3 linked regions of the Drosophila melanogaster genome follow. Changing the gene in region 3 together with the main gene of any one other region gives a genetic interaction. Each region holds a gene or a part of one and is shown on either strand. Other genes may lie near its edges.

The links.
Region 1: of Rab9 (region 3) and para, changing one suppresses a phenotype caused by changing the other (phenotypic suppression), as found in Drosophila melanogaster (one study listed by BioGRID).
Region 2: of Rab9 (region 3) and Lrrk, changing one suppresses a phenotype caused by changing the other (phenotypic suppression), as found in Drosophila melanogaster (one study listed by BioGRID).

Annotation. Positions count from the first base shown.
Region 1 is NC_004354.4:16,520,831-16,531,412, reverse strand, and holds the start of para (paralytic), read left to right. Parts: upstream 1-3,998; 5' UTR 3,999-4,136; intron 4,137-5,997; exon of another isoform or gene 5,998-6,191; coding exon of another isoform or gene 6,192-8,111; exon of another isoform or gene 8,112-8,446; intron 8,447-9,259; 5' UTR 9,260-9,348; intron 9,349-9,599; 5' UTR 9,600-9,640; coding exon 9,641-9,790; intron 9,791-10,582. Other genes in the region: Cnx14D (calnexin 14D), read left to right, coding at 6,192-8,111. UniProt on the Drosophila melanogaster protein: Mediates the voltage-dependent sodium ion permeability of excitable membranes.
Region 2 is NT_033777.3:20,633,690-20,643,562, reverse strand, and holds the start of Lrrk (Leucine-rich repeat kinase), read right to left. Parts: upstream 8,084-9,873; 5' UTR 7,926-8,083; coding exon 7,907-7,925; intron 7,748-7,906; coding exon 7,475-7,747; intron 7,465-7,474; exon of another isoform or gene 7,376-7,464; coding exon of another isoform or gene 7,288-7,375; intron 7,223-7,287; coding exon 7,063-7,222; intron 7,001-7,062; coding exon 5,741-7,000; intron 5,685-5,740; coding exon 3,810-5,684; intron 3,750-3,809; coding exon 3,264-3,749; intron 3,195-3,263; coding exon 2,819-3,194; intron 2,763-2,818; coding exon 1,686-2,762; intron 1,618-1,685; coding exon 1,090-1,617; intron 1,033-1,089; coding exon 200-1,032; intron 142-199; coding exon 1-141.
Region 3 is NT_033779.5:19,430,993-19,442,118, reverse strand, and holds Rab9 (Rab9), read right to left. Parts: upstream 9,546-11,126; 5' UTR 9,248-9,545; coding exon 9,056-9,247; intron 7,453-9,055; coding exon 7,258-7,452; intron 7,197-7,257; coding exon 6,813-7,196; 3' UTR 6,278-6,812; downstream 1-6,277. Other genes in the region: CG10237 (uncharacterized protein), read left to right, coding at 1,398-1,455, 4,274-4,453, 4,993-5,087, 5,156-5,309, 5,486-5,973; RtcB RNA ligase, read right to left, coding at 9,768-9,995, 10,056-11,126.

The sequences.
Region 1 (10,582 bases), on a different chromosome or scaffold from region 3:
TTTTTTGTTCGATTCGATTCGAGTCGCGCGTGTGCCATATCGCGTTTCGTTTTCGTGCTGTGCGCAAAAAGAGCCGAGCTCCAAAAGACTTGGGGTCTGAGGATTGGGGATTGGGTACTGGGTACTGGGGACTGGGTTTTTGGGTACTGCTTACCGGGTTCCGAAGAACTCAGGACGAGGCCACGAGGAGCCCTCCGAAGAGAGCAGGATATGCAAGAGAGCGCAGAAAGCGACGATGTGAGCGAGATTGGCGTAAAAGGGACAAGGGTGTCTCAAATTGCCTTGGCTTAGCTCACAAAAAATTGAACCAAAAAAAAAAAAAAATGCGAACAAAAATACGAAATTGTGCAACGCTATTGAAGTTTGAAGTTGATTTCTAATGAAAAATATAGCCATTCCATACGTGTACATGCATTAAAACAAGCTGTATGCAGGACATGGCGGTTAATTGCCAGAAAAGCGAATAATTGGAATTGTTCATATTTGATTCAACAACAGACATTTATAACAGTTATTGTCACGAAAGCGCTTTCATGATTGTGGAAATCGTGTAGTCGAATTCAAAGCTTATTACTGACAATTGCGTTCAGAGAATATTTCAGTGCCGTGCAAATCCCTAAAGAATTGAGGTTAGATAGCAGATAATAATGGTTTAATTTGCATATTAAGCAATTTTAAGCCAGATTATGTTAGTAACATCATTTATTTTACTTGCTTTCTTAGATCAAGCAACTTAGGTACTGTCAAAATTGTTTAAACATTTATGGGTGCCACATTACAACGAAGGATTCATTTTTTATGTGCCTCTTGCCGAGAACTTGCAAGGACCTCGTCGAAACCGAAAGGACACGCAATTGTGGCCCAGAATCGAAAGCGAAAACTTTCCCTTCCTTGGCCAAAATCTATAAACTTTCGTTTATAAAACGCACTAGCTGTCATTCGTGTGCGATTGTGTGGCTTTCGTGTGGCTATTTGGCTATTTGTGTTGCTTTCGCGACTTCTGGTCGCTATAGAAAACCAAAAAGCTGAAAATATAGTGAAATGGCATGGGGAACACCCGTTAAAGAAAGTACCGATGTGTTAAGACCAGTCCAAATGGGTGTTACAATAACTTTGCGGCTCGTCCAATGCCCAGCGGGTTAGGCCGGTGCCATTCGGCCAACAGCCTGCCACCAGCCTTCCATCGTGCTCACCAGCTTGTCCCGGGGCGAAGGCTCCGCAGGACCCCCATACCATTGCATCCCATGGAGAGGGACGGAAGCCCAGCCGGAGCACCACCAGTCACCAAATGGCAGTCGCAGTTCAATCTGCCCCTGGGTTGTGCGTGTTCAATTGGCTTCCAGCCCCATTGTTGTTCTTTGCTCGCCCTTTGCCTGTTGTTGGCTTTTGGTGTAAAAAATTTACATAACCCAAATTGATGCATAAATAAATTATTAAATACGTGACGTGCAAATGGTCAAAAGACCAAGCTAGCAGCCATCGAGCAGCAAACGCAAGTCGAATAGCATGTGTGCAAGGCTCTGGCCTTTGGCTTCCATTGTGCGAATCCCAAGGGCTTGCAATCAGGACGCAATCCAATAAGGAGATTGTGCTCTCGGTAATATTGCCATCCATATGCGACCTGCGACAAATGTCTTATGTTACGCGAAGATCCTCACTGCGAATTCAATTAGGAGCAAGGCCAAGGTTCATGATCCAAACGAATTCCAAATCATTGGCTCCCATTATGGATGAAACTGTGATAAATAAACATTAGTCCCAAAGAGAAATTGGCAATTTAAAGGTTTCTAAGTACGCTATTGAGTACAACTATTGAGTGCCAGGAAATGATAAGTCCAAACTTATAGTATTACACACTTAAGAATGAAGTCAATTAGGTTAAATTTATAGCAAGCTTAAACGCTTCGAAAACAGTTTCCTGATTTAAAAGCATTATTACTCAAACTCCCACAAAAGCTGCGCGCTTTGGTGACCCCAATCCAGTTAAGACACACACACACACACACACAGTTAAACTCCATTGTTTTCAATTTGTTTATACATATGTATGTACTTGTCCATTTGTAAGGACATTAGGAACGCAGTTCCTTAATGTGTGCAAATGGGTGGGCTGACTGGTGACTTGGTGACTTGGTGACCCCGCCACCGCTGGGTTAGATAAAGTTCGGATAGGATCGATTGGTCGGTGTCCAAGATGGGGGGCCCCGAAAAGCGGGTCAGCATGATTTGCGATTATAGCTGATGCTCCATATTCTCGGGCCACATTAGTTATGAACGCAGTCGGACTTGACTTGACCAGTCCAACTGGTGCCAAACGCCCAAAAATAATGACCCACTGTTGCAATTTTCGGGCAGAGCAGAGCCGTGGAATATCAGCTTGATGACCTAAAAATAGAACAAGTGACCAAAGACAAATAAAAAAATGAGAGTCGGCGATGGCGAATAGTATGTGGCAAATGGCGGAGAATAGCGAAGGGCGAAAGGATAAGCAGCGAAAAACAGGGTGGCAAAGTAGCACAACAAAACCTGTGTTGACAACGACTTGGGTGGTTATATATGGCAAATGCTTTAGGGCGAAAAGGACTTCTCACACACACACAAACACACACACGCGCGAACTGCTTCTGCTCCTTTTCGCGGCAAATTCGGATAAAAGGAAGTCACGGCGAAACGGCGGACAACTGCCTGGTTCGCCCGAAAACGGAGTTACCCAGAGAGGAGGAACTTTTTCAGTGCTCAGTGCTCGACTTTTTTCCGCATCCTTGTGTCCTTTTTCAATACTGCTCTGCGTTTCACGTGCGCGCGAAAATTGCATAAACACAAACAAGCCGCGACTCGCTGCCTCGACATTTTTTTTTACAGTGCATCCAATCCAGTGAGACATTATCCTGCCAATTGAGTGCTCATTTTACGTTTTTTTTTTCGTGTGTCTAAGTGAAAGCCATCAAGTGTGTGAATACAATTTACAAGCCCATTTTAAATATCTATTGAAGAAATATAACAAGTTTAGTAGAAGGAATCAAATAAACTAACGACATAATTCACATAATTGGCACAAGGACAGCAGAAAATCTAACATATAAAAAGAAATAAATATTAAAAAAAATAATTTCAAGCCATTCAAACAATACTAGGGGGTGCTTTTAGTGGGCCATACAAATTATTCGAAATTTTTTCTTCCGATAATATTTTTTTCAATTTTTTTTACATTTCTGTCACCTTTTGTGAATGAGTTTTCCCATCAAATTTTCCAATTTAAGCTGGGTTTCAACAACTTGTTCGCTTTTCCGCAGGCGACGCTGACGAAATTGAAACTAAAACCGAAATAAAATCTGCAAATAATAATAATAATACTATTAGTCATAATACGGAAAACCAATTATAATCATAGCAACAGTTGAGAAACCAAGCCGAGGCAAACTCATTTAAATATCCCAGCCAGGTAGCCAGATACTAGTAGAAATAATACAACAAATAATATTAACATTAACTATAAATAATAAATTGAAACAGCTCTGGGAACAAAACGCAACGTTTGATGAAAATTTCTGGCAACACGTCTTGGTTGTTGTTAAGCACGCAAAAAAATTAAATAAAAAAACCAATTCAAATACCCAATGATAATGCAGATTTAACAAACAAAACCAAAACAAATAAAAGCAAACAAAAATACAAATATAAAAAAAAAACCAAACAAAAAAACCAAAAAACAAAACAAACAACAAATTCATCTTCTACTTGTTCTACCGCTTCAACTTTATTCGTCTTCGTCTCCGTAATATATATATATATATAAAATATACATATATATATATTTATATATATATATATCTATGTATATGTATGCATATGTGTGTGAGTGCGTCGCGTGTGTGTTGGTGCCTGTAAATGTGTGAGCCACAACAACAACAACTACAACAACAGCAGCAGCAGCCAGAGCCACAACCACAACAACAACAACAGTAGTTAACAGCAGCAACAATTCTTAGCAGCAGCAGCAACAACAACAATACAAGCAAGCACGCTCACAACAAAAGCAGCAACAGCAACAACAACCACAATAGCAACTACAGCAACAACAACATCAGCGGATAGAGCGAGCAGCCAGGCACAACATCGATAGACATCGATTAACGGTAGGTAATCGAAGGCAATCGAAAAAATCCATTTAATATGTATTTTATTATCACATTCATTGCACTTTTAATTATGCTAATGATATTTAACCCTAAACAGAGGAAAAAAAATCGTGAAATTTTTTATTTGTTGAGTTTCAACTATTTCCGATACCTTGAATGATTTATTCTTAAGACTAAACGATCTTTCGAGTCTAAAAGAACCACTTTTATGATGAATTCTTACAATTAACACATAGTGGAAATGTATTGAAAATAATTATGTTATCTATGTTAGAGCAAACAGGCTAACAATGTGTTATATTAGAAATTCTCAGCTCTTACTTAACTTACTTCTCAGCTCAAAACAAAGTCATTAATTTACTTTTCATTTTGGTCAAAGAGAACTACATTTTACTGGGTCAATGGTTCAACTTTCATTGAAAGTTTTTAAGAAACCCACATTTGGTATTCCCATCGATTGCAATTTTAATATAGAATACCAAAAAGGGCAATTTACGCTGCACGTCAAATGAGAATTTAGAAAGCAATTGTGTCTTTCGTATGTATTTCAATATTTGAATAGCTAGAAAAGTGTGAACGGAGCAGTGGGCGACTTGATGAACTTGGCTCGATTATGTCATGCCTCCTTGGTGAAAATCCCAGTTAACCAGGCCCGACCTCAAGACCATATCAATGGGGTATCTGCGCCCCTTTTTGTCCCGCCCACTGGCACGCCCCTTTGCTTTTGGGCTACAACCTTTTGCTGGCTTTTGGAGGGCAAACTTTCAGCTGCCACAAAAAAAAAAAAAGAACAGAGCAGAGCAGAGCAGAAAAAAATGAATGATGAAGGTTGAGGGGGGGGGGTGTTTCTAACGGAATTCCTTTGCTCACGCACACATTGAAAGGAGGTTCGTTAAGAGAGAAGGGAACCCAAAAATGTATTGTTGTAGTCCGTGTTTGTTGGCGGCATCACACAGAGAAGTGAGAGCGCAAGAGAGAGGGCACTGGCTCTCTCGGCGCAGGCAGGAGGAGAGTGAGAGTCCTCGCTCTCTCGCCAGCCCATTGCGCTCTCCCATGCAAAATTCATTGACTAACAACATGCTAACTTCGTTCAGTTTTTTGCTGTTTCTGTTTGTTTTTTTTTTTAGTTTTTTAGTCCTTTCCTTGCCATCGAATTTTGTTCAACAATTAATAGGGTAGCAGATATTCTGTGTTATATTGCCAAATCGATACCTTGGGTTGGCTAAGGAAAACGTTTTGCGTTTCGCTCATGTGTTTGTCATGTGTCATTTGCATATTGACACAAATTCCGGCTCGGGTTGTTTTTTATTTCAATTCTTGTTTGCGGTTTTTCGCATGACTCATCGACCCAGCGAATGGCCAAAAATTAATTCGGCAAACAGAATTTTGCGAGTGTCATGAATGGAAACAGACACACATAAATATATGCTCATATTGGCACATCCACTGCCACTCTGTGTGTGTGTGAGAACGCTACCCTATGCTTCATGCCTCCGTGTGTGTGTGAGTGTGGCGAAATATCGAACTGACCTACTTTTATGCTCGATACACACACACACACACACACGCACACACACTGGCGCGCTCACACATACACACACGCAGCCAGATTGGCAAATGGAAAAAGAGTGCTTTGACCTTAGCGGAGGCTGCTTATGTAAGCCCAATATCCGAAGACCGCAGGAACATCCGTAACCGAATCTAGATTCAATTCTCACATTTTCTGTAGTAGCGGTAGAAGGTAGTGTTAGACCGTTTCAAATAAATGAAGTGCTTATAATATTATCTACATTTTAAAAATCATAATCGTATTACCTATTACTAAGCTATCTATGTAAGTCAAATCCAAAATTTATACAAACAAGCAAGCGGCGTCAATAAAGTCATACGCATTAAGGCTCAGTTCAGTCAAGTCAACCACTTTTCACAAAAAATCGTTAAAAATCGTTAATTTCTTCGAACGTCGCTATATTAAAAAAACGCAAGGCTCAATTCAGTCAATCCTTATCTATTCCAACTCTGAGTAAGCGAGCAAGCGAAAAGTGTGTGAAAATGGCTTGGAAAATGCTCTTCGCCATTTTGTTGCTGCTGAGTGCGGCCAAAACCGGCTATTTGGCCCCGGAGTCGGAAAACTCTGTGGAGGATGTGCAGATAGAGCCCGGCGCCATCTATGGCGATGAGAAGTTTGCCTACAAGAGTCCGGTGATCGATGCCGAAAAGTTTTACTTTGCGGATCACTTCGACGACGTGGAGGCATCCCGAAAGAGATGGGTACTGTCGCAGGCCAAGAAGAACGACATCGCCGATGAGATAGCCAAATACGATGGCATCTGGAACTGGGAGTCTCCGCAACGCATCTTTTGGGCAAACGATCTGGGTCTGGTGCTCAAGTCGAAGGCCAAGCATGCGGCCATAGCCGCCCCCTTTCGCCAGCCGTTCGATTTCAAGTCGAACAAGCCGCTGGTGGTGCAGTACGAGCTTACGTTGCAGGAGGGTCAGGACTGTGGCGGCTCGTATCTGAAGCTTTTGTCCGCCGGAAAAGGCACGGAGCAACTAAATCGCTTCAATGACAAGACACCCTATACCATCATGTTTGGTCCGGACAAGTGCGGCAACAATTTGAAAATGCACTTTATATTCCGGCACGTCAATCCATTAAATGGCAACATCACCGAAAAGCACTGCAAAAAGCCAAATGCCCGTTTGGGAGTGCCATTCACGGACAAGCTACCCCATCTCTACCAGCTGGTGGTCCGTCCCGATAACAGCTTTGAGATTCGCTTAGACCACAAGATCATCAAAGAGGGTTCCCTGCTGACCGACTTTGTGCCACCAGTCAACCCACCGGCGGAGATAGATGACCCCAATGACCACAAGCCAGAATCGTGGGATGAGCGGAAGAAGATCCCAGACCCCAATGCCCACAAGCCCGAGGATTGGGACGAGGATGCTCCACCACATCTGCCCGATACCGATGCCGTCATGCCAAATGGCTGGCTAGAGGATGAGCCCGACATGATTTTCGATCCAACTGCCATCGAACCCGAAGATTGGAATTCCGAAATCGATGGCGAGTGGGAGGCTCCTCTGGTGGAGAACCCAGTGTGCAAGAAGGCCCCCGGCTGTGGCAAGTGGAAGGCTCCGCTCATCCCCAATCCCAACTACAAGGGCAAGTGGAGTGCACCAATGATCGAGAACCCCAACAACCAGGGCAAGTGGGCTCCCAGGAAGATAGCCAATCCAGACTTCTTTGAGGATCTGAAGCCCTTCCAAATGACGCCAATCAACGCTGTGGGTCTGGAGCTGTGGTCCATGTCCAGCGATATTCTCTTCGATAACCTGATCATCACGGACGATGTGGAGTTGGCCCGTGACTTTGCTGCCAACAGCTTCGACATCAAGCGTCTCTACATCGATCGTGAATCATTCGGGAATAAGGTAGTCGAGCTAGCTAGGGCCAATCGAGCGATCTGGGGCATTGTCATAGTGGCCATTGCGGTGCCGGTTGCCATTACCATCTTCTGTAAATTTGGTTTAGGCCCGAGTAGGGTTGCGGCTGCCAAAAAAGCTGCTGCTGCCGCGGCCAAGAAGACCGACGATCCTCAGCCCGATGATGACCTGGGGGCCGAGGAGGAGGAAAAGTTGGAGAAGGGGAAGAAGGAGGAGGAAAAGAAGGAGGAGGAGGAGGAGGAGGAGAAGGAGGAGAATAAGGAGGAAAAGAAGGAGGAGGAGAAGGATGACGAGAAGGAGATGAAGGATTGCGAGGAGGAGGAGGATGACGAGGAGAAGGATGACGAGGAGAAGACCGACGAAAGGGCCGCTGGTGATACCAACAAGGAAAGCACACCGCTGTCCGCTAGTCCCAAGAAGAACCAAAAGTCTTATTTAGATAATAACGAAGATGAGGAAGACACATTAAAGAACAAGGAACCTACCCCAAAAAAAAGGAAGCGTAAAGCACTCAAGGAGTAAGCGGGCATCCGTAGTCACTGCAACTCTAAATAAGAAACTAAATCGAATTCCAAGATCCAACTGTTGCAGAGCACCAACAACCAAATGATCAAGCAAACGTAGATTTTAAACATGTTCTAATTTCGCCAAAAGAGCCGACATCTCGATCAAACTACACACACACACACACTATCCCACAAACACACAGACACTATTTCACAAACACACACACACACTCTCCCACACACACACACTCTCCCACACACACACACACACTCTCCCACACATACACACACACACATACACATAACACATCCAAATCCAAATAAAATCGGATTAAAAAAAAAGAATTGGGTGTGAAAGGGAAAATTGTTTGAAGACGGAAAAACAAGCAAATTTCCGCGATCTTTTCGCTGGTGGTAGCATACTTTTCTGGGCTGCTGCTGAGAATCCTTGGCAGCAACTCAAGAAATCGCAGGGATTCCGACTGCAAGAAGCAGTCGCAGTACACTGGAAAACGTGGTTCTGGCGATCCAATGATGTTACTTTACTTTACTTAACACGTGAGCATAGGGTAACGTGCGATATGCCCCAAGGATCAGTATTCGGGCAACTGCTGTGGAACGCCATGTACGATGGTGTGCTGAGGTGGCCACTGCCAGAAAGAACCAAGGTGATTGGTTTCGCGGGCGTTATTGCCTTCGCTGAGTGCCTTGGTAATGCATCTAATTGCACCATATACTTACTTATATTATCAAACATAAAATTTATACGAACAAGTAAGGGTCATAAGTAAATTCATAAGCATGAATTGAGCCTTTAAGTTAATCTTTATTTTTCCCAACTCCCCGTTTAAAAATCGTACGTATTTTAAATTCTTCGTACGTCGCTGTATCCAAAAGAACGCAAGTATGTGTGTGCGTGCTGGCATTTATTGATTGGCCATTGTTTTTGTTTGTTGCATTTTACTTTTTTGATTGCATTTCATTTGACGCGAATCGCCGCCTGCGGTAATCCAATTAGTCAGCTGTTGAGGTTTCGACATCGACTCTCTACCGCGGGATCAATGCACTAGCTTTAAGTCTCCTCATTTACTCCATACCATAACTAACTTTAATAGAGCAACACTAACTAATGCCTGACGTTTTTCCCATTTCATTTACTTGCAGCATCGTGCTAAGCGGCGGGCGCTAATCGAACATGGCGCCTCGGATATAGTTGTAGCTTTAATGTAGCAGGCGACATCCATGTGCCTCATGTAAGTAAGACCACATAGAATATAGTTGTAAGTGGGAGGAATAAGGCCTACTATGTGTAGGGAAAGAGTATATGCATACTTATATATAGTACATATTTTTATTTATATTTATTCATATAAATTTTCTTCTTAGCAGATGCATGAACAAATATCAGACTTTTGTTTAACTCATTTATAATTTCTTCTTGATACTGGGTGCTTTTGCATACTGTATGAAACATGAGTAACATCTTCATTTTCTTCTCTTGCAGGCCTTGGAAATCTAAGGCTCTCATCGTTGGCCGCATAGACAATGACAGAAGATTCCGACTCGATATCTGAGGAAGAACGCAGTTTGTTCCGTCCCTTTACCCGCGAATCATTGGTGCAAATCGAACAACGCATTGCCGCTGAACATGAAAAGCAGAAGGAGCTGGAAAGAAAGAGAGCCGAGGGAGAGGTGGTAATTATTTCTAGCTGGAATGTGCTTAGCTTTCTCGATTTTGTGTGCCTACTCTACTACTCTTTCTGTATCTGTATCAGTAACTGTAACCGTATCCGTATACGTATATGTAACCATATCAGTATGTGTATCTCTCTCTACTACGTCTAAGTGAATTGACTTCCAATTGAGATCGAATGCCAAACGGTCGATGCTGATCGCTGATCGATTAAAGATCAATGATCATCGATGGCCGATAATCAATAACCGATTGCCGCTACTGTGCGCTTATGTTCGTGCTTCAACTTAAGCCTGAACGTCTATTTTATATAATATACATATATAACAAATACTCGAATATGTTCTACCTACTAACCCCATGCATACATATCCACCCGAAGTTATCAACATGAAAAGAAACCATCCAACTCACAAGCAGTCATCCTCCGTGTATACGTATCTGTATATCGAATGCCTCTGTGTCTACAGTTCTCTTTATATAACCCATTTAAACCCCTTCAGTATGTCATATCCGCCTCTGTAAATGCAGCTACTAACCATCGAATCCATCTCGTTATACGTATCTCAGAGTCACGTCACATTAATCCACTCTGCTTGAGCCCCAGCCATCCAATCCGTAAACCCAAATGCAAACCAAGCAGATCTTATCTATCTCTCTCTACATATCGCTCTCTCTCTCTCTCTCTCCCTCTGACCCATCTAACTGGACCGCAACTATTAACTACCAACTGCATACTGTCTATTCTGTCTATTGTTTTCCGTAATCTCAGCCAGCATTTCACCTACTTTTAT
Region 2 (9,873 bases), on a different chromosome or scaffold from region 3:
CACATTCGAGCCACCTTGACGTCCTCGATGAGATTGGGTTCCTCGCTGTGGCATAAAGCCTGATGTCCGGAAACTCCATTCTCGTTCAACGGAAAAACATTTATCTTTCCTGCAATTTCGCCGCACCACAATTCATAGATTCTACACAAAGCACAATATAGATTTAAGTAAATATTTGGTTATAGATTTGTCAGCTTACCCATCCACAACAACGGAACAAGCGGCGTGCAACACAAAACCAGAACAGATCTCTGTAAGCACAAAAGAGCCCTCGGCAAATGCGCAATTGCTGGGCATCTGCGTGGCGTCAACAAGGAACACCCGACCGTTATGCGTTCCGACAGCCACGCGAGCTATTTTCTCCATGTAGACTAGACTGATCACAGCTGACTTAATGTTGGGATCGAGCATGTAGGAAAACAGGTGGGCATAGGTGGATGTGCTATAGGCGTGCAGATTGCCGGAAACGTCGCCCATCCAGATGGCTTCACCCACCAGGCAGCAGCACAACATGTTCATCTTGGGCAAACGTTGGGCAGAGCGGGCACGTGAATTTGCACCGTTTTCGGGTGTCTTGGGCGGAGCAACCTGTGGCTGCGGAGAACAACTGATGCTGTTGCACTGCAGTAGGCTGCCCGAGGGTGAGCAGTCTAGAATGTCAATGCGAGAGCCGAAGGAGGGTAGCCACAGTTCAAGACCACATCGTTCATCATCGCCCATACCAACAAGCGACTGAAAAACCCCACAGACAATCTTCTCGCTATGCGGCATGGCAACGACATCCAGGAGGTGGATGCACTCCGGTGCACTTAGTATGGAAACAATCTGACTTGCCGTCGGTCTGCGACGAGGCTGTTCGTGCCAACACAAGACCATAAGATCCAAACAGCAGGTGGGAAACTGGGTTTCCCTTTGAGTCAAAGCCGGGCGACTACCCTCCAAGATGCACTCTTTAATAGACTCGTGGCCTTCGAAAGGTTGTCGTAAACTGATATTCTCATATATGAACATTCCAAATGAGAAGCAGTCCACCTGACAAGAAGAATCGATAAGCCATATGATTTATGAGAAGTAAATAAATAAACATACCTTTTCAGTATATTCCTCCTCACCATTGTAGCGTATGATCTCCGGAGCCATAAAACCCTCGGTGCCACCAAATCCTTTAGCTCCACTTGGAGCAGTTTGCCGGCTAATTCCGTAGTCGGCAATCTTTATGTGCACAAGGTTGCGGGGACTGTCTTCCGTGTGTGGTTGTGGAAGCTCCCAAACCAAGACATTTTCAGACTTTAGATCGCGGTAGATGATTCTTCTGCGATGCAAATACTCGATTGCTCGAGCCGCCTGCAGGACAAGGGTCTGGAAAGTATGCGGTCCCATGTGGGCTCCGCTGCGTCGGTAATGCCGGAGCAAAGCGTCCAAACCGCCTAGAGGAGCTAGTTCCAGAACCAGAGCTAATGGTTTAATGCAGATCCCGACCAAGGGTACAATGTTTGGATGCTTGAGAGTTAGAAGTACTGCCAATTCCTGACGCGCAGTGCAGTAGGCCTTGCAAGAGTGCTGCAGTGGATCCCGGTCCCATTTGCCTACAGCTACCTTGAAAGCCATCAAAGCGCTCTAAAATAGAATGATTAAAGAACAAATTACTATTCATTTCAGTACATTTGTTAATTTATAGTACTCACCTCTTTTGCACGAGCTCCGGGAGGCACTGGCTGAAGCATTTTCATTGCCACCGGCTTAAAGGATCTGGCGCCCCTTACCTTGCAATTTGCTTTAAAAACGAACCCAAAAGCACCTCGACCAAGCAACGATCCCTTGATGATGCACTCGCTTGGAATAGTGTGCTTATCAGGAATATCGGCAAAGATTACGTCTGGCGCAAGCTGAGCCATAGACTGTTCAAGATGAACAGGGCAACTAATCTTGCTTTGATTATAAACGGACAAAATGCACTCCTCAATCATCCAAGCATAACACACATTTGAGTTATCAGGCAAGTGATATCCGGGATGACCATCAACTGAAGTGTTGCGCGAAGAACCGGCTGAGTCGGGACCCACGCCCGAGTCCGCGTCGGATCCAGCACCCAAAGAATCCTCCGATCGGCGTTCTCTCCTTGCTGTGGCGTTTAAATAGGCCGAGAACACGTTTAAAGCACCATCCTCTCCGGGATCACCTACACCGTGGAGAAAGTATGCTCCCGCTCCACGCCTACTACTTCGACTTGGTCGATTGCAACCCACTGGAGGCACTTCCCGATCAGACGGTTCGTTGTTCTGCTGCAGCTGCAACTTCCAAAGACATCGCGGACACAACACCAATCGAGTGATTAGGAATCGACCCTCGGAAGTGTGCACAAACCGCGTTCCCAATGAAGGATACCAATCCTCCAAAAGCAAGTCAATATGATCCACTGTTAGGGCCAAAAGCTTGGCCACCTGAGACATGTGCGGACGAATCTCGGCCAGCAATTGACGTTCATTGTCATCCACTTCTTGCGATATGTTCACTTCATAGAGTGGAAAGTAAACTTCCAAAATGCTAGAGGAGCTGAGATTTACATCGCTCCAGATACCATCTTGTTTCAGCTTAAATCGGTTGCCATCAGTGCGGAAAGGTTGCGTTCGCTCTGTCTTCTGAAAGGGTACTTCCCAGATCTTGAATATTAAGATAGGTCCATAGTACAGTGCTAAGCCTGTCTGCCAAAGATTCCATTGGGTGTCCTGCTCCAACGATGTGCGTAGATCAAAGTCCGCGTACTAGAAAATAAAGATTGTACCTAGAACTTAGGCTTCGTAAAAGATGTTCCACTTACATCTTGTGAAGCCATATAAACGCCACGAATTGCTTCGATTATTTGTTCATCAGCTAAAATCCGGGTGATTAATCTTGACCAAAACCCGGACGGGAAATAAGTCATCAATAGGATGCGCCGCAAGCCTTGGCTAACCGATGCAGAGGAAGATGATGAAGAAGGAGCTGACCTCTGTTCGTATATCAAATTATTTAGATTTACTTCTTGCGATACAGAGCAACCCAAACTACGGCCGCGAGATCGTTGCGATAGCTTAACCGTGCTTCCTGAATTGGGTGTAGCTGCCTCCTGCGAAGGCAGTAAGGAGGGTATGAGTAGAGTTCTCGAATCCCACGTTAAAGCAACCTCAAACTTGTTAAGTAGACTGACAATGTAGCTTAAAGAAAGAAATTTTAATTAATACAAAAATACTTTACCACATAGTTATGCACACTCATTTAAATACCTTCTGTTTCCATTTCCTTGAACCTGCACACTTCGGAACAACATCTGGAGATCATCCAGCTTCATCACGCCCGTAGGAGCAAAGGGGTTGATCTCCCGCACGGTGACCACATGGGCCAGCATGTCGCAAAGCCACTGTGGATCGAGAAAGTAGTAGTCCCTTAGCGTAGCATCATCATAGTGCAATAAAACTCCATTTTCGTGGCACCATGTAGTGGCCTGCTGCAGCTCAGCGGCATCCCGGAAGCTCTTGTAGTTGTGCAATCTCATCTGTTCGGTGACCAAGCGCTTATATTGTTCACCATCCAGGACGGGATCTCGCCCAGCAGCGCGCAGATTGCATGCAATCACATTCACAATATCCTCCAAGGCAATGTAGCTGGCGGGGATCTTTTGCAGTAGCATGGGCTCCTTGGAACCAGGGGATCGCAGTTGCATGGCGGTGTCGTAAATAATGTTGGCCAATAAGTGGATATTGTGTAGGGTCCTAAAGTTCAAAGCGGTATTTTTTAGACTTTGAAGTCATATTAATAATTCAAAAACTTACCGGCAACTTATTTCGATGGAATCAATCACCCGTGGCAGCCCAATTTTTTCCGCATCGGGAATGGCGATAAACTTCTCCCGAATCAATTGCTGCAGTTGCTCTGCCTTTTGGGGCGAGATGGATTCACCAACGGCATCAAAGTGTGTGCCCACAATGATTACGGGGGAGTTGGGAGCCCTCGCTTGAATGTTGCCAAGCCACTGCAGCAACTCCGCCAGACCCTTGTGACCGTCGCTAATGCGCCAGAGCACCAAATACAGACTCCGTTTGGACAAAAAGTACTGATGTGTGGCGTAGTACTCCTTCTGACCACCAAAATCCCAAGTACGAAACACCACTGGGCCGTGGGAGCCGGGTGCTCGCTTTCGTTTCTCACATATCCATGTTCCAATGTCCACTCCTACTGTAGAAATGTTTGCGCTAGAAGCCGACGAATGGCGATGAGATCGAGATGTGCTGCGTGCGTGTCCCATTCGCTTGGCCCAATGATTTTCGCTGGCGCGCGATCGATGAGAGCTGGAGCTGGACCCTGAGCCCGCCCCCTGGCGCAGTAAGTCCAGCAGAGTGCTCTTGCCAATTCCAGCCACACCAACCACCATCAGTTTCATCCGTGCGTAGGGCTGAGCATCTTCGTAAATAGATTTAAGATATCCAACAATGTCCATCGTCTTGTGCTTCTTGCTCTCGATCATAGAGCGCAGTGGCTCCTGCAGTAGGCAACCGCGCGTATTAAGATTCCAAAGTCTCGACAGCAGTCCCAAGTGCGGCGGCAGTTCCGTGATGTTGACGTTGCCACTAATATTCAGCACTGACAGACTGCTCAGTTCGTGCAACGAGGCGGGAATCTCCTTCAGGCAATTGTTGGTCATATCCAGCATAGACAGGTTGGGAAATATCACCTTAGACCGGTTCACGCCTACCACACTCCAATCGGCGTCCTCACTTTCATTGAAAAGGGTTGTGGCGTCATCAGTTGATAGTTGGATGCGCGTAAGCAGATTGTCAGCCAAGATCAATGTGCGTAGAGCCTCCAGGCGCAGATGACGCCTGTGCCGACAAACACTTTTTAACACCGAAGCGCGAAACGATGTGGCAGACGAGCTACTGCCCTTTGAGGAGGCCGTCTTGTAGTCGTCATCTCGACCCTCTGGTAGCTGGACACAACTGTAGCACAGTAGATGCGGATCCGATTCAGTAATTCGCGGTAAACTTGGCCAGCAGGATATCTCGTTGTGACTTAGATCCAACTGCTTAAGTGTTGCCGGGTAACTGGTTACATGTCCCATAGAACGCAGACTGTTGTATGACATATTCAGCCGTGTTAGGTTTACAGCCAGACAGGGCAAAGCAGCGGGGATACTGGTGAAGAGGTTATTTGCTATATTTAAGCTACTTAGCTGGGAGGAGCCCACACCAGCTGTCTTTCCATCGCCTAAATCTTGTTCATGCTGCCACTTCATGTCATTATCGGTTATGTCCAAAGTAGCCGACCATAGATTGCGATGGGTGAGACGTTGCTGAGTCACATTTCGCGGTTTGTTTGATGGCGGCTCCTCAAAAGATTGCAGATTCAATTTGTCTAGGCTCAGCAGCGAACTGCTAGTTTGCATTGGCGGCACAGGAAGATCCCGCAATAGGTTGAAGGCCACATTAAGTTCGCGCAACTTGGGTGCACGCCACAGGTCGAAGGGAAGCTGTTGCAGTTTGTTATTTGAAACATCCAATATAGATAGGGCGGGCAGGTGAAAGATGGCGGCTGGCAGCGTAGTTAACTGGTTGTCTTGTAGAAAGAGTTCATCCAGTACCGGACACCCATATGTCTGGCCTATTGGTGCAGGTAGATCGGTTATCTTGTTTTGCGCCACATTTAAATACCTTAAATGAAGGACTAATATAATTCTTGAAAAACTTATTACTTTGTCTTTACTAACCTTAGGCTAACCAAATGGAAAAGCTCCTGTGGAATTGACGTGAGAACGTTGTGCGAGAAATCTATTCGCGTGATAGCTGTCAGAGCAACCTCATTAAGTCGCGGATGCGACTGTAGCTTAGGATTCAGCAGCAACACACCGCTGACCATCCAGGGAACCCTTACAACAGACAACTGGACACTGGAGCCCATGCTGTGCCAGTCAATAATGGTTGGATTGTTGGGGAACATAGCACTGTAAGATATGTTGCTGGTGGACGGCAAAAACACGTTCACCTCCACTGGTGTGGGAAGACCCTTCTTGTTGATCTTGTAGTCTGAGTCCGGATGGACTCGTCGGGCCAAAAGACGACTCAGGATGGCCTCGTCGCCGCATGTAATAGCCATTCCAATGGCCGTGCCATTATCGTCGCGGGCTCCATGCTTAAGCAAGAGATCCAACATAGCCAGCGACCTTTGCTTGCAGGCCTCTGCAATGGGGACATTACTGAGCCCATATATTTCCTCGCAACATTTCGGGTCGTTGTGATCCTCAACTGGCTTGGCTACAATATTCGGATTTGCGCCGTGCTGTAGCAGAGACTGCACCACGTCTAGGTGGCCGCCTCGAACGGCCGCAAGCAGAGCTGTTTCTCTCGCCGCTCCACATAGCAGATTCACGTTAATGGGACACCGTTGGCACTCGGTTGACTCTTGTGAAGCTAGGTCGTCGGGTCCTTCTGACTCTCCAGATATGTGCAGTTTGGACATGATAGCCTGAATGCCAAATGAAATACGTTTCCTGGTGGGCGTAATAGGAGTGCTCACCGAGCTGGCGGAATCGCCCAACGTACGCCGGCAATGGAGCTGCCACTTTAGAAGCACACCAACCAGCTGCTTGTTTCCTAGGATGCTGGCAATATACAGACTCGTCTGACCCGTCACATCATGAGCGTTAGCGTCGAAGGGGAGCCGCCATTCCCACTGGCCCTCCTCGTCGCGATATGTCTGGTAGAGGTAGTCGGGATAACTGTAGCTGATAAGGAGTTCCAGCAGCTTGATGTGTCCATTGATGCAGGCGGCGTGCAGCGGCAGCCAGCGCTCTACAGTCGGCTGCTGGATCAGTTCTGGAAAATGGTCTAGCATCAGTCGGGCAATGCCCAAGTGACCGCTATGGACGGCGGCGTACAAGGGTGAGTACTTGGTCACGGCATGGGAGCGACCATCCGCTCCAGCATCCAGCAATCGCTGTGTAATGCTCTCGTAACCAGACTGGCAGGCTCTAAAACGAGACCGATATTAGTTTGGCTCAAAATGGACTAATTCTAAAAGACTTTTTCTCACAGGAATAGAAGGGTGTTTGCTCCTGAAGGAGCCATATTGACTATAATCTGACGCTCAGTTCCAAGAGCTGCCAGCAGCACCCGCACAGTCCGCTCATCGCCAGAGATCACTGCCGTTCGCAGCTCCCCGTGCTTGATCTGACGCACTTCCTCGCGGGCATCTGTGAAAGATAAGTTTTGCTTGGTTAACTAATACACAGCACCTTTGGAATAAACCAATTCCCACCCCGTATTGAGGATGCCTCAATGACCTCATCCACGAAGTAGTCACAGGCTTCCAGAGCTGTTTCAGTTCCAGTTTTGGGATGTTCCATGCTGAATTTCCATGACATTATGTAACCCAAATCGGTGCGAATAAGCCCCAAAAATTAATTGGCATCGGTATGATGACCGAACGCGCCGCTAGCAAAAACTGAACTGCGGAAAATCGATGGCCACGTTTTTGTGGTCATTGATCCAGGCCGTTTTATGTCGCACTGCGCAAGTCGGAGCCCAAGAAGCGCGGCAACTGTTGCACTTGTTCAAGAATGTGGCATTGGGTGAGTGCGTGGCATTTGTTTTGATTTGTCTCTTCGTGGGTGTCGGATGGTCCAGTGGTTGCACCAGTTGCTTCTGTGGGGGGTGGCTGTTTGAAAAAAGTTTTTGCGCGCCCACTTCCATTGCACCAATGTCACCCTGTGCCCTTGCTGGTGTTGTTGAAAAACCAATAACAACTGGTTGAAGTTTTAATTGCACCACTTAGGTAATTTGCATAGTCAAGCGTATAATGCTCATTTGCACTCTGACTAAATTTGCGCAAAACTAGCATATTGTGCATAATTTCACTAAAAGTTGTGTTATCTCACCTTCGTCGGAGTCGCTCATTGTTTTGGTTTGTGTACTTCACGAGATATCCAAGTCATGCATGGTATGTGTTAAATGGGTAGTTGTTATGGTCCGATTAACCAGTAGCACCTTTTACTGACCCTTACTTAATTATTTTGCACATTTTGCGAAATTTTCACTTTGTTTACCTTTTTGTCAACAAACAGTGTAACCTCTTACTGTTTTAGAATATATCTCCTCATTTTGGCACGATATGCTGTTAAGCGCTCTGTGTGACCGAAATATCGCAAGTGAATGCTGTTAATCAGTGTCGCACGCAGGGGGCTTCGTACTTTTCTCCAAAGATTAAAGCCAGCTTAATAACTAAATCATAATCTACCCAAAATCATTGATTTTTATGTCCATTGGCTTAAATTTATAAATTAAAATTAATTTAACAAGGCCGAACAAGTATTTGGAAGACGCATTTATTATTTTTATTCATACACATCTAAAAATTTGTTCCCAAGTGAAATATTTGAAATCCCAACTGATGCTGAAATATCTCATTTCTGATAGCATACATATATAAATACCAAAACGCGATAAGGTGGTCATCGTTTCTGTTACTTTGCACTGCTTGTCAACTCAACAACAGTAATATCGATATTATTTAAATCAGTTAAGCAGTGAATCACTATCGACTGTTACTTTTTGTTGAATTTTATTTTGTATGCTATGATTTTATCTAAAAGAATTTGATTCTTAGGAACTGTTAATTATTTTTATTTATTTTTTTTTTAACATGCAATTTCCTGTTATGACTGTTTACGAACAAGAATTTATTAGCACCGTGTATTTGTGTATATTTTATAAATACTGATGCCAACTGTAACCTATATCGATATAACAATCGAATGAAACACTATCGATATTAACCAGCGCCAGCCTAGAACGCCCTGTGTTCAACAGGAGTCACCCTGTGTTCGTTAACAGACGCTTAACAGCACGATCTCAACAATACAAATAAAAACAATTTAATATTCCTTAATCGAACACAAATTTGAGCCGATTGCACGGTGCGTTTGAAAAATAACAATACCGCGGAATGGCCGACAGAGGCCAACTGAAGGTGCCGGTGCAGAGAATCAAGTAAGGAGCAGCGTAAACTGCGCAGCTCACACCCAAAAAAAAATCGCTATAAAGGCGAGGGCTGGCCAAAATGGAAGCAAAAAACAAAAACAAACGAGCTGCGCCACAATGCAAGTGAAACTTCGATGAAAACTTGCCAATCCGTGTGCTTTTCAAGACTTTTCTGACTGTCTGCAATTTCCATTTTTGTGGCATCGCGACTTAGAGATGAGACATCGGTGCCGCGTAACTTTTTTATACCCTTTCCGCGGTATCAACTCCACCCGTTCGGTCACGGAATTTGAACATTTGGCTCTGAAATATGCCTTAATGGCTTAGATTTTCATTATGGAAACTTTTCTTTCAACGGCCATATCGAATTCGTTATAAATCCTGCTTACTTCAGTCATTCAACTGCCTAAAATTGCAAAAAAAAACACGTAAGGGCATTCATAGGTCGCCTTGGCTGACCCTGAATTCTTGTTTTTGTTTTCAAGTTGACCCCTCCCACCCCCAGCCAACAACTTATGACTGTGTGATTCATACTAAATAAAAGTCAGCGTTTTTGTTTTAATTAACAAGAACCGACGATTTTAGAGGCTGCTTTTCTATTTTATCCCATGTGGTAAAGGGCGGTTAGAACCAACTCAGTTTTACAGTGCATCAATGGATGTTATCCAGATCTCTGATCATCTCGAGGGCAAAGCCAAGGGAAGGGGTCGCCTTCTTATCAACGGGTGGGCGGTTGATTTTTAGTAATTTCCGTAATTCGACACCAAAACAATTATCGGTACATATATCGCCATATGTTTTCTTTCAAGTAACCCGGCGCCACCTTCTTATTTATTCGCAGAGAGATTGGCGTGCTGATTTAAAT
Region 3 (11,126 bases):
AGAAGATTAACCACGATACACTGTGCGAAACGCTCAGAACACGCACTTAATATAAATATATATACATATATAAAGCTGTGCCGCGATTGCGAAAGTGCCCCGATGCTATATAGCTAACTTAAAAATTTCGTATTTTGCGACGAGAAATGAAAATATTCCTTCGTTTACATTCTAGAACAAATATAGGAAGTGGACTTTTCGCAAGTGGCAGATGAGAATTTCTCGAAAGTGCTAAACAGTACAAGTTACAAAGTGTATATAGTTACAAAATATAGCAAAGTGGATTTCCTGATAGAAAGTACGGATTTTTTCAATAATAATAATAATAACTATATTGTTTTAAGTCAAGAACATTTCTAAAAGTGCACACAAAGTGAAGAAAGTTCTTGAATTTTGTAGTACTCACTTACTTTCAGTGTACCTTCTGCAACATTATATTTAATAATGTTAATTGCTGTGGAAAATCGATTGAGTGCGCTGCACCGTGAGAAATACCGCACTTGTCTTGGCACTTTAACGTACTAAAAACAATGGAAATAACATAAAATTAATGCTGAGCTCAGTGAACCATTTTCAGGTGAACTTATGCAAAACAAGCCAAAAAAAAAAAAGAAGATCCCATGCGGCGATTCGCGACGTGATCTTTAGAGCTCTTAACTCGAATCGGTCGCTTATAATGACCTATTAAGTCGCGCTGGCCTTACGAGTGCCCGACTATTCCGACCGACCTATGTATATATCTTGATAACTATAACTTTGTCGTACAATACATATGTGCAATGCACGCAGTGCATAAAAGGGGCGGCTATAAAACGATTTGACAAGCAGCTTTGTATTTTCAGTCTTCAAACGCGACCCAAGCTCACTAGGTACATATATCGGAGTCGAACGGGAGTTCCGAAGGATTTCCACTGTACCAGCCAACTATTTGTGGATTAGCCGATTTTCAATTCAAACAAGGTGAGTAATTGGATCTCATATATACATTTGTATATATATATACATATAGAGTGCTTTTCTTTTTAAGAGTGCATTTCTGAGTGTGTAGCGCTAGGGACCATAAAAATATCTTAGCCAGATCACCATCACTATCACTATGTAGCTACGCTCAGCCCTTATTTACGAGGCATCACTGTCTGTCCGTGTTTTTTGCATTGCCTTTTGCTCATTACTGTTGCATGCATTCCCCCCTTTCGCACTCGTCGCTCGAGAATTTCAGACAAAGTTCAGTAACTCGCCGACGACATTGACCCATTTAGCCACCGCCGATGCTCCCGACTCGATCAGCCTGAATAAAGAAATATTAATTTATTTACATACGCTAGCATTTGCATGTGCATACCGGTTTAGTTAGTTGTAAAGTAACTTGTGTGTGTATTCATTCGATCTGCATCGCCATGACCATGCTGACCACTGCATCTGCGATGAGGTGCCTGCCCTCTGAATTCCCACTTGGTGAGCAATAGCGAAATCTGCCGAACCCCATTTTTTATCGTATATTTATTGCAAGTACTATATGCATTTTCTTAGAATTATCTCCCTCAAATAGAATTATTTTCTATATACGTACGTATGTATTTATATAAGGCGCGTGGCTACAGTTGCTCGAAAAACTATACACCAGTTTGTTAAAAACTTATATACAGTTGTGCTGGTAATTGAAAGTCACGATTAGTTCGAGAAAGAGTATTTAAAAGGTATTCAAAATATAAATAATTTAAAAAAAACAACACTTTTTGCAATGCCTTTTGATATGCCATCTAAATTGTTTGGACATCAAGCGAGTATTCATGTAACAATCCATTTGTTCGATGTCAGTAATATCTACCGACTTGTACTTTTTCCATCTCTTGAGTAAGGTCAAAGCACTTTTGCTTTTGAACCGCCATTGTCACGTTCTTCAAAAGCAGGTTTCTCATGCAGGGTTTTTAACACGCTTTTTGCAAAGAAAAAACCGAAGGGCGAAGGTTGACATTGCAATGGGTCGTAACCCCAGAATTACTCATATTACTCGCTTCAAGTTTTTTCCATATACTCGCAGCTTTGTACCACCCAGTTTTCGTCAGCATCCGCTTCGAGATGGCCAATAAAAATTGACCAAATGACCGAAACTGGCCGTAATGAAATCGAGAGTATCATCGCAACGTAAATCCGTATCCATGAATGGCCGAAGTCTTCGCACGTGCGATCGTGCGATTGAACCGATTTGTCCAAAACCGGGCGGGAACCATTTGCTGTCCACAACGCAGAGGGTGCTCGGCTTTGGGACGTGTTAATTATACCAAATATGCCTGGCTTAACACATGGGGCTGAGAAAATAGGGACATATGATATGACATGGTGATGCGGTGTCATTAGATGCGATCTTATGATCTATAACTATGATCTATAAATAGTTGAAGATGCTTTCAAGTGTCCAATGTTTGTGGTCTCCAACAAATTGCTAGTGGGGTGACCCCAGGTGTAGGTACGCCGAACAGGTGTAAGCACTAATTGGCGTGTAGCTGGGCAGCATTGAAACCGGATGGCTATGCACGGGCACGGGGCTTCAGGGTCGCGATGGGAAATGCCTATGCCAAGGGATTTTCAAGAGCCCAATAGTACTGTGGGCGATTACCCGAAGAAAACCCGAATAAATTAGGCAAGTCCAAGTTGAAAGCGAAACTGAAACCGGCTTGAGGTGGCGGTGGCATCATTTCCCAATGACGATGCACCCCAGACCCAGTAAAGCTTGCTCGCTCTCCCTGGGCAAACTCCATGTGTCTCTCCATCTAGCAACTCCACGCTCTTGCGAGGCACGTGAATGTCATGCTCAAGTTCAGATTCAGCTGGTGATGATCACTTAATGGGTGCACAACTTGTTTCATATAATAGCATTATATAGTTATTCCCCATCACTAGTGCAAGCAAGCAAGAAAATATATGTTTCAGTAGAAGCTTATTATGTTGAAACTACTTCATTTTGGTGCATTAAAGCATTAAACAACTATAGTTAAAAGACCCCCTTATAGCAGAAGTAGTTACTGTCGGGAAACAAACCCACTTGGCAGCACTGGCGTCTCGATCGGCGACACCCACTCTCATGCCGCTCCGCTCACAATTCCAGTTTTAATTCTTGGCCTGGCATAAAATCTCGACTCGCGCTTTTGGCCGCAACAGTTTCATCTGGGCTTTCAGCTCCGTTGCACGCGTCACTCGCAGCTGGTTTTTTGGGCCGTCTTTGCGGAATACTGTTAGCCATTATACCATTATAGCCTTTAAGTTTGGGCCAAACTAGTTTCGGTCGTGTTGTGTTGTCTTGTGTTGTGTTGTGATCCGTGTGTACTATTTAAGATCTCGTATTTTCCCAGACACAACATCAGCGATTCAGTAGACTCTTGTGTATCATTCATGAATGCAAAAACAGACGATACCCTAAGCAAATCACCTGGCCCATCTAGCCGAAATTGGTAGCAATTTTCAATGTCAGCGCTTCGGATGCTAATCTCCTAGTCTTTTGTTTCGAGCCAGCACTAACGCTAATTTTCGATTTGATGGGAAATCTTCAGCGCTAATTTCCGATTTGATGGGAAATCTAGTGTGCTAATTTCTGATATCCAACTGCCCCACTATATAAGCTCACAGACCCTGGCTCCTCATCTCGCAATTCGAAACCTGCCTAACTGGAAATTACGCTCAAGTAGAACGCGTCAAGTGTCTCCAGAATTTAGTTCAAGGCTCCTAACGTTATTTTCTGATCTCTGAAGAATTGCATTATCTTCGCGAATCTCTGGCCTCTTCTTCCGTTTTAAGCAATTTGCGAATGTCAAGGTGAAGGTCGGCCAGGTGATTAATAAATAAATGAATACATATATGGATATGTTTAGACGATCATCGCATTGACTGGCGGGAAAGTCTAGAAACTCGATGCAGTTGAGCCGGTTCCGAGTCACTTGTGTCTCGCTAATAAATTGAAATCTCTACGCTTTTTTCTTCTTATAAATAGAGGGCACAATTTTACATTTGGCAAACTGAAAATATACAGCGGCGAACCGCTTAGAAAAAGCACATAGCTTAATATAATCGCAGAATAATTTCAGTTCAGCCAGAGCAGCAACAATTGCAAAATGAGTAAGTAGTAATTGTGAAGTATGACAACTAATTGGCAATCGATGTCAGTTAGCTCAAGTTATTTAGTTGGCCAAAGTTCCCAGTGCTCTCAGTGTGAAACCCGCAGCCCCAGCTCAAAGTACAGAAGCTGTCGCTAACCGAACCCCAACTGCTTCCCTTCCAGGAGTACCCACCATGCTGTCGGACATCGACCAACTGCCCACGCTCCAGGTGGGCGACTACACGCTCCAGTTCGAGTTGGGCGAGCCGACTGCCCAGGGCAAGGAGGTGGCCATCAAGGAGCTGCGCGAAACACCCGAGCGCCAGAAGGAGGCCTCCAAGGAGCTGGCCCGTCTTCTAGAAGGTGAGTCGTGATCAGAAATGGAGTTTTACTTTGAATCAATATAATTATACATTAACTACATGAGTTAAAACTCACATGATGAAAGTCATTGAAACTGCATTACATCTGTTTAAAGTATATACATATATCTGAACTGAGATCATACAATATGCATTTTGCTAAGCTATTTTCATAATTTATATCCGAGGGATCTCCAAAAGCTGATAAAAACTTGAGTTAATAAAACTTAAGCCATAAACTTCGTACTTAGCCTGCATCTAATAATTTACCCGATTGTTGGGAATTGAAAATCCATTTGTACACCAAGTTCGAACGAATAGTTCTATATCATTAGTTGGCGACTTCGTGTCACTAATAACAAGTTGGGGCTAAAAGCAGCGCGCCCTCGAGAGGATTTCGTTGCATAAGATTCGTAACTATTGTTACAAATTACGATTGCCTTTTAATTGCTGGATAAACTTAATGCCAGTGGTTTAGTGACTTTTTAGAATTAAGACTATTGAAGGTGAGGTCGATTAATATTTGCGATATGCTTCCAGCGGAGACGGACTTGCTGTACCCCAAGGGAAACGAGGAGTGGCTGATCAGATACCTGCGGCCCTGCAAGTATTACCCGGAAAGTGCCCGTGATCTGGTGAGTCTAGTGTGGCAACCCAGTTTCCAGCTGTGTTACTAATTGTATATATTCTGAATATGGAACAGATTAAGCGGTACTACGCCTTCAAGGTGAAGCACGCGGATGTGTACACCGACCTGAAGCCATCGAACGAGGCCAACATCTTCAAGCACAACATCCTTACCGTCTTCCCCAACCGAGATCAACTGGGTCGTCGCATTTTGGTCCTCGAACTGGGCAGTAAGTACACTGAAAGAAGGATACTTCAATATATTAGCTTTTGAGTGCAAAGATCTCGATCTTCAGAGTAAAGTTTATTTTAGTTAAGATGCAGGTTTTCCTATCATTTGAAGTTTCATAGTTGCTCCAAGCATTGAGCAGATCCTGTATTAATCTTTCGTAATCCCCGATTACAGAGCGCTGGAAGCACAAGCAGGTCACCCTCGATGAGGTGTTCAAGGGAGCTGTGCTCTTCCTGGAGGCGGCCATGCTGGAGCCAGAAACACAGATCTGCGGAGCCGTTGTGATCTTCGACATGGATGGCCTCAGTCTCCAGCAAACGTGGCAGTTTACGCCTCCGTTCGCCAAGCGCATTGTGGACTGGCTTCAGGACTCGGTGCCGCTCCGGATCAAGGCCATTCACATCGTGAACCAGCCGAAGATTTTCCAGGTGGTCTTTGCCCTGTTCAAGCCCTTCCTCAAGGAGAAGCTGCGCAGCAGGATCATCTTCCATGGCACCGATCGCGAGTCCCTGCACAAATACATGTCGCCCAAGTGCCTGCCAGCCGCCTACGGAGGATTCCGGGAGGCCAGCCGCATCGACAGCGACCAGTGGTACCAGCTGCTGCTCAAGTGCGACACCGAGTTCGACACCATCAACTCGTACGGCTACAAGAAGAAGTGATCTGTGGCCACCGGCCTGGTGCTGCTCGTGATAATCAACTCCACTCGTTTCCACACGTCTTCACATTAAGCCCACGTGGAGCGTTATAGTTAAGCACTCGATCTACCATACGCTTGTCCTGTTAGTGAGTAGCGCCTAGAGTTTGCCTTAGTCTTAACCAGGATCGGAGTGTCGATCGCAGCCAGAAGAAGTGTTATACCTACATGCATATTATTTTAATCCGGGGTAAGCGTATTTATATCATTTTACTATTGTACATTAAACCAATTGTTAAAATATAAACATACTTTGTAAACAAACACGTGCGGTATTCATATTTATTCGTTTGTTCCCAGCTTTCACATCAGATAAACACACTTAAGGCACTCCGAAATTATGCAATATATAAGGAAAAAATGTAGTGATTACATTCTGATTGCCTTATGCGTAGTACATTAGACACCTAAAGCTTGCTTTCCTCAAGCAAGACACTTGGTTATGGTAAAGCTTATATACGATTGTTATAAGAGTATTTCATACCGCATATATTCGATACGGTAACATAACAAAATAATAACTTAGTAAGATAATATTAAAGCATAGCAAGTAAAAATGGAGATCCTATTCTTGACATAGAAGCTAGCTCATAGTTAGCTCGCTGTGAAGCATAGTTCCCTTAGAATATCAACCACAACGAGGCAATCCACTCTCTACAGCCATCAACATTGGGTGGATGGGTTGCCTTTCGGTCTGAAGCTCCTGCCCCTCCGCGGACTGGAATGCATTGAATCTGAAGGTCAACCCGGCGGGGTGAGTGGTTAAATTAAGCGTAAGTTTCCTGACAGCTCCTGTCTGTCTGCTCATAGCCGATAATTGGTGGCTGGCGCCTTGCTGGCGTTGCGCTTCTGGCCGAACACTTTCTTGCCCGGACTGTGCATGGCGGCATCATCGCCATCCGCGTCCTGCCCTACGCCGCCGCCACCGCCTCCTCCGCCTGTGCAACAGATGCGCCGCTGCACCAGGCGAATGGGGCGGGTGAGGTCAATGGTGTCGCCGTGCTGGCGCAGTTCCGCCTCGGCCACGCACTCCATGTGCCGCCACTGGCGAAGGCCAAGGACGAACGCATCCGTCACATTGGTGGCCGCCTTCGATGACGTCTCGATGTGGCAGGCCACCTTCTGCTCCGCGCACCACTGCTGCACTGCGTCGGAGCTCACCTGTCGCTTCTGCGCCGGAATGTCGTTCTACAATTGGAAGCAATTAACCTTTTAAACTCAAGATGAACGTTCTGCAAGCATGGCTCACCTTATTTCCCACCACGATGAATGGAAACTTGTCCTGGTCCACATCTGCGTAGTTGAGGAACTCATTGCGCCACACACCCAATCCCTTCAAGCTGTCCCGGTCGTCGAGTGCGTAGCAGAGCAGACAGATGTCCGATCCTCTGTAGAACGGGGTGCGTAGAGCCCGGAATCGCTCCTGGCCAGCGGTGTCCCATATCTAGTTTGGGGAAATTCCAATTAAGGCAATGCATCAATTAAGTTTGATTGAATTGGCGATTCAAATGGCGCTCAATTGAAATTTGCATTCGATTAGAAGCAAACTCACTGAGAAACAAACACTTTCGCCGTTTGAAAACCTATGGAGTGTTTGCATGCCTGACTGACTCACTTATATCAACACATTTACTGTCATTTCTTGTGTGTTAATTAAATATTTAGTTTTGAACTGATAACGAGGTGGTGATAAGCAATTAGCTCAGGAAATAGTTCGTTGAATCTGAATTTTCGAGTAGCATACATACTTTAAATATTTATTTTATACTTTTATTTATTTTATACTTTCGAACATGAGGTTATACTTTTAGCTCTAACAATGGATACTTTAAACTTCTTTATCTAATATAAACACCTTTGGCCTCCAAACACATGGGTGGAATAACCCTTTTAGGGTGTGAGTACTGCCCATGGTAACTAAGTGACTCCATACATATGTACATATGTATATAGGTAGTGCAAAAAACACCCCAGTGATTCCACGATTTTTTGCAGCACTGGGAAATCCGCTTTTGGCCAAGTTCTTCCTGTGCCCAGCGAACTGTGAACCAGCAAACTATGCGAGATTCCCGTCGGATTAGTCATATGTATATCAATCAGTCCACATTCGCTACTTCCTACTTTATAATGTATCTGCTGGTCCAATTAGAATTATTATTCCGATTTGCGACACCTTGGCTGCATTTTGCTTACTCACTGAGACGCGCTGCATATTCATGAGTTTTCCGAGCTTGGCGAACTGTGAAAATCATTTAGTTCGATACTTTTGAAGACAACAGTCCGAATGGAAAATGGAAAACAACTGCGATGCGGATGAGATGGAGCGGGGGAAACCGCGTCGGCGGATGAAACAAAGTCTCTCACTTGTTTGCCGAATGGCGAAACTGTCATTATTGTTATTATTTCAGTTTTTTGTTTCTGCAATGCCATTCCGTTCTCAACGCTAATTGAGTAGAAATCTAATGTTCATATATGTGTGTGTGTGAGTGGGGATGGGGCAGATGGAACAGATACCCCCATAATGTAGGTACAGCTACAGTGGAAAAAACTACGTAATTAATTGATTGCACATATTTTTTTCTTAATTTCAAATGCAAGACTCAAAAACGTGTCAGTAAGATAATACTTTTCTCTGGTATACGAGTGTTTCAAATGGTTCAAGGAATGTATAGTCAATGTTTCCTTGTTTAAATGGTTTAATTTGTTAGCACTTCTGTTTTTACCCTGTTTAACTTACTAAAGTTCCACTGTGCCGCGAATGTAAGGGAATGGAAAACAAGGCTTAATCGTTGTGTAGTTTCTAAGTGTTTGCATCAACAAAATGCCGGTGGATCGGGCACAACCATGCGACGGTGGGATAGATCCGTTTGGGGGGGGGGGGAGGGGGTTAGTGTTTAAGTGAAATACACTTGAAGGAAATACGCTTGGCCAACTGTTGCATTCACCATAAGAATTGCAAAAGTTCTACGGCCTTGCCGCAATATCGGTATTACTATTACTCCTAGTCAGTAGTTGGATTGCATAATAGTCATAGTCGTAGTCTTCACCTGCAGAGTGTAGCGCTCCCCGTCGACGACTATGTCCTTGTTCATGAACTCCACGCCGATGGTGTGGAAGTTGTTCTCCTCGTAGCGATTGGCGACGAATCGGGTGAGCAGGGCGGACTTGCCAACGCCTCCGTCGCCCAGTATGACGACCTTCAGCAGCTTGGACTTCTGCGGCGGCCGCATGTTCGTCATAGTGCCTGCGTTTGTTTGTTCTTGCAGTTAAGTCCGGCGGCAACAGCAGTGGCTAGATTTCTTTGGCCTTTTCCTACTGCGCAGCTTGGTTGACTGCCGGCTGCAGTGAGTTTTCGGCTTAATTGCACTCACGATTCCCGAGCGATTAGCAGGCGCACATACAGAATTGCACACGGCGTGTTGTTAACAACGAATATAATTCGTTTTTTTTCGTTTAAATAAATCGAAATGGGCAGCTCAATCAAAATTCGCGCCGTGCAGCAGGTCCAATTGGATTGGCAGTCAGCTGACAACTAACAGACCGGGCCTTTGGCCTAACATAATGCTAAGCTCGCCGTTAACAGAGCGCCAGTGTGGGGTGACCACAGCTCACTTAACAGCTTAACTACATAACTGTTAACTTTGAATAAAAAAACGAAAACCTCTTAACAAATTCTATAAAAATTTTAATTCGTTATTAACTAAATTGACAGCCATCGGACCAAATGTTTATTGACTTAATCACAATAATAAATTAGACTTAGCCCTTGATAACTGCAATTGGGCGCATCTTGATGCACTTTTTGCTGATGCCAGCTGCGTGACAGGTGTCGACCACATCGGTCACGTCCTTGTAAGATTCGGGTGCCTCCTCCATGACCAGTTTGGGCGAGGCCACGCGTATGGCGATGCCCAACTGGTCCAGCTTGTCCAGCACATCCTTGTAGTCCAGATTGCGCCGGGATTTGGCTCGAGATAGTGCACGACCCTAAAGATTCAAGGAGGTTTTAGTCTGGCGAACAGGAAGAAACGGGATTTGGTTACTCACCGCTCCGTGGCAAGTGCTACCGAACGTCTCCTGCATGCCCTGCTCCGTTCCAGTTAGCACGTAACTGCAAGTGCCCATGGTTCCACCGACGAGGACTGGCTGCCCGGTAAGCTGATAGTCCACTGGGATCAGGGGATGGTGTGGCGGGAAGGCGCGCGTGGAGCCCTTCCGGTGAACCAACAGCTTCCGCTCCTTGCCGTCCACCATGTGGTTCTCCACCTTGGCAATATTGTGCGAAACGTCATAGATAACGTGCATGTCGAGATCATCGGGTGTGGTGTTAAACATCTTGGCAAACGCTTGACGGGTGAGGAATGTCATGGAGCTGCGATTCACCCAGGCAAAGTTCGCAGCCGCCGCCATGGCCTTCAAGTAGTCCTGTCCCTCCACCGAATTGATCCTGGCGCAGGCCAGCTGCCGGTCATTGGTCTCGATCTTGTCCCGCTTCATGGCCTTCTCCATCTGGACCAGGGCGTCGGTAGCGACCTGGTGGCCGAAGCCACGACTGCCCGAGTGAATCATCACCACCACCTGGCCCTTCTCCTCGATGCCCATCTTGGAGGCGCTCCACTTGTCGTAGATTTCGTCCACCACCTGGATCTCGGCGTAGTGATTGCCCGCACCCAGAGTGCCCAGCTGGGGCAGCCCTCGCTTCTTGGCCCGCATGCTCACCTTGGCGGGATCGGCGTTCAGCATGCGGCCGTACTCCTCGCAATGCTCCTTGTCCTCCGCCCACACGTATCCCTCGCGCAGCGACCAGTCCATGCCCATTTCGAGGGCCTCCTCCAGATCGCGGGCATTCATGGGTATGATGCCCTTGGAGCCCACACCCACGGGTATGTGATCGAACAGGGACTGCGCCAGTTGCTCCTTCACCGGCTGCACATCCTTCTCGTACAGATTCGTGCGCAGCAGACGCACGCCACAGTTGATGTCGAAACCCACGCCGCCGGGACTTACAACGGACAGCGGATCGTTCATGTCGAAAGCAGCCATGTTCCCGATGGCAAATCCGTAGCCGGAATGAATGTCGGGCAGTCCAATGGACCTGCCCACGATGCCCGGCAACGC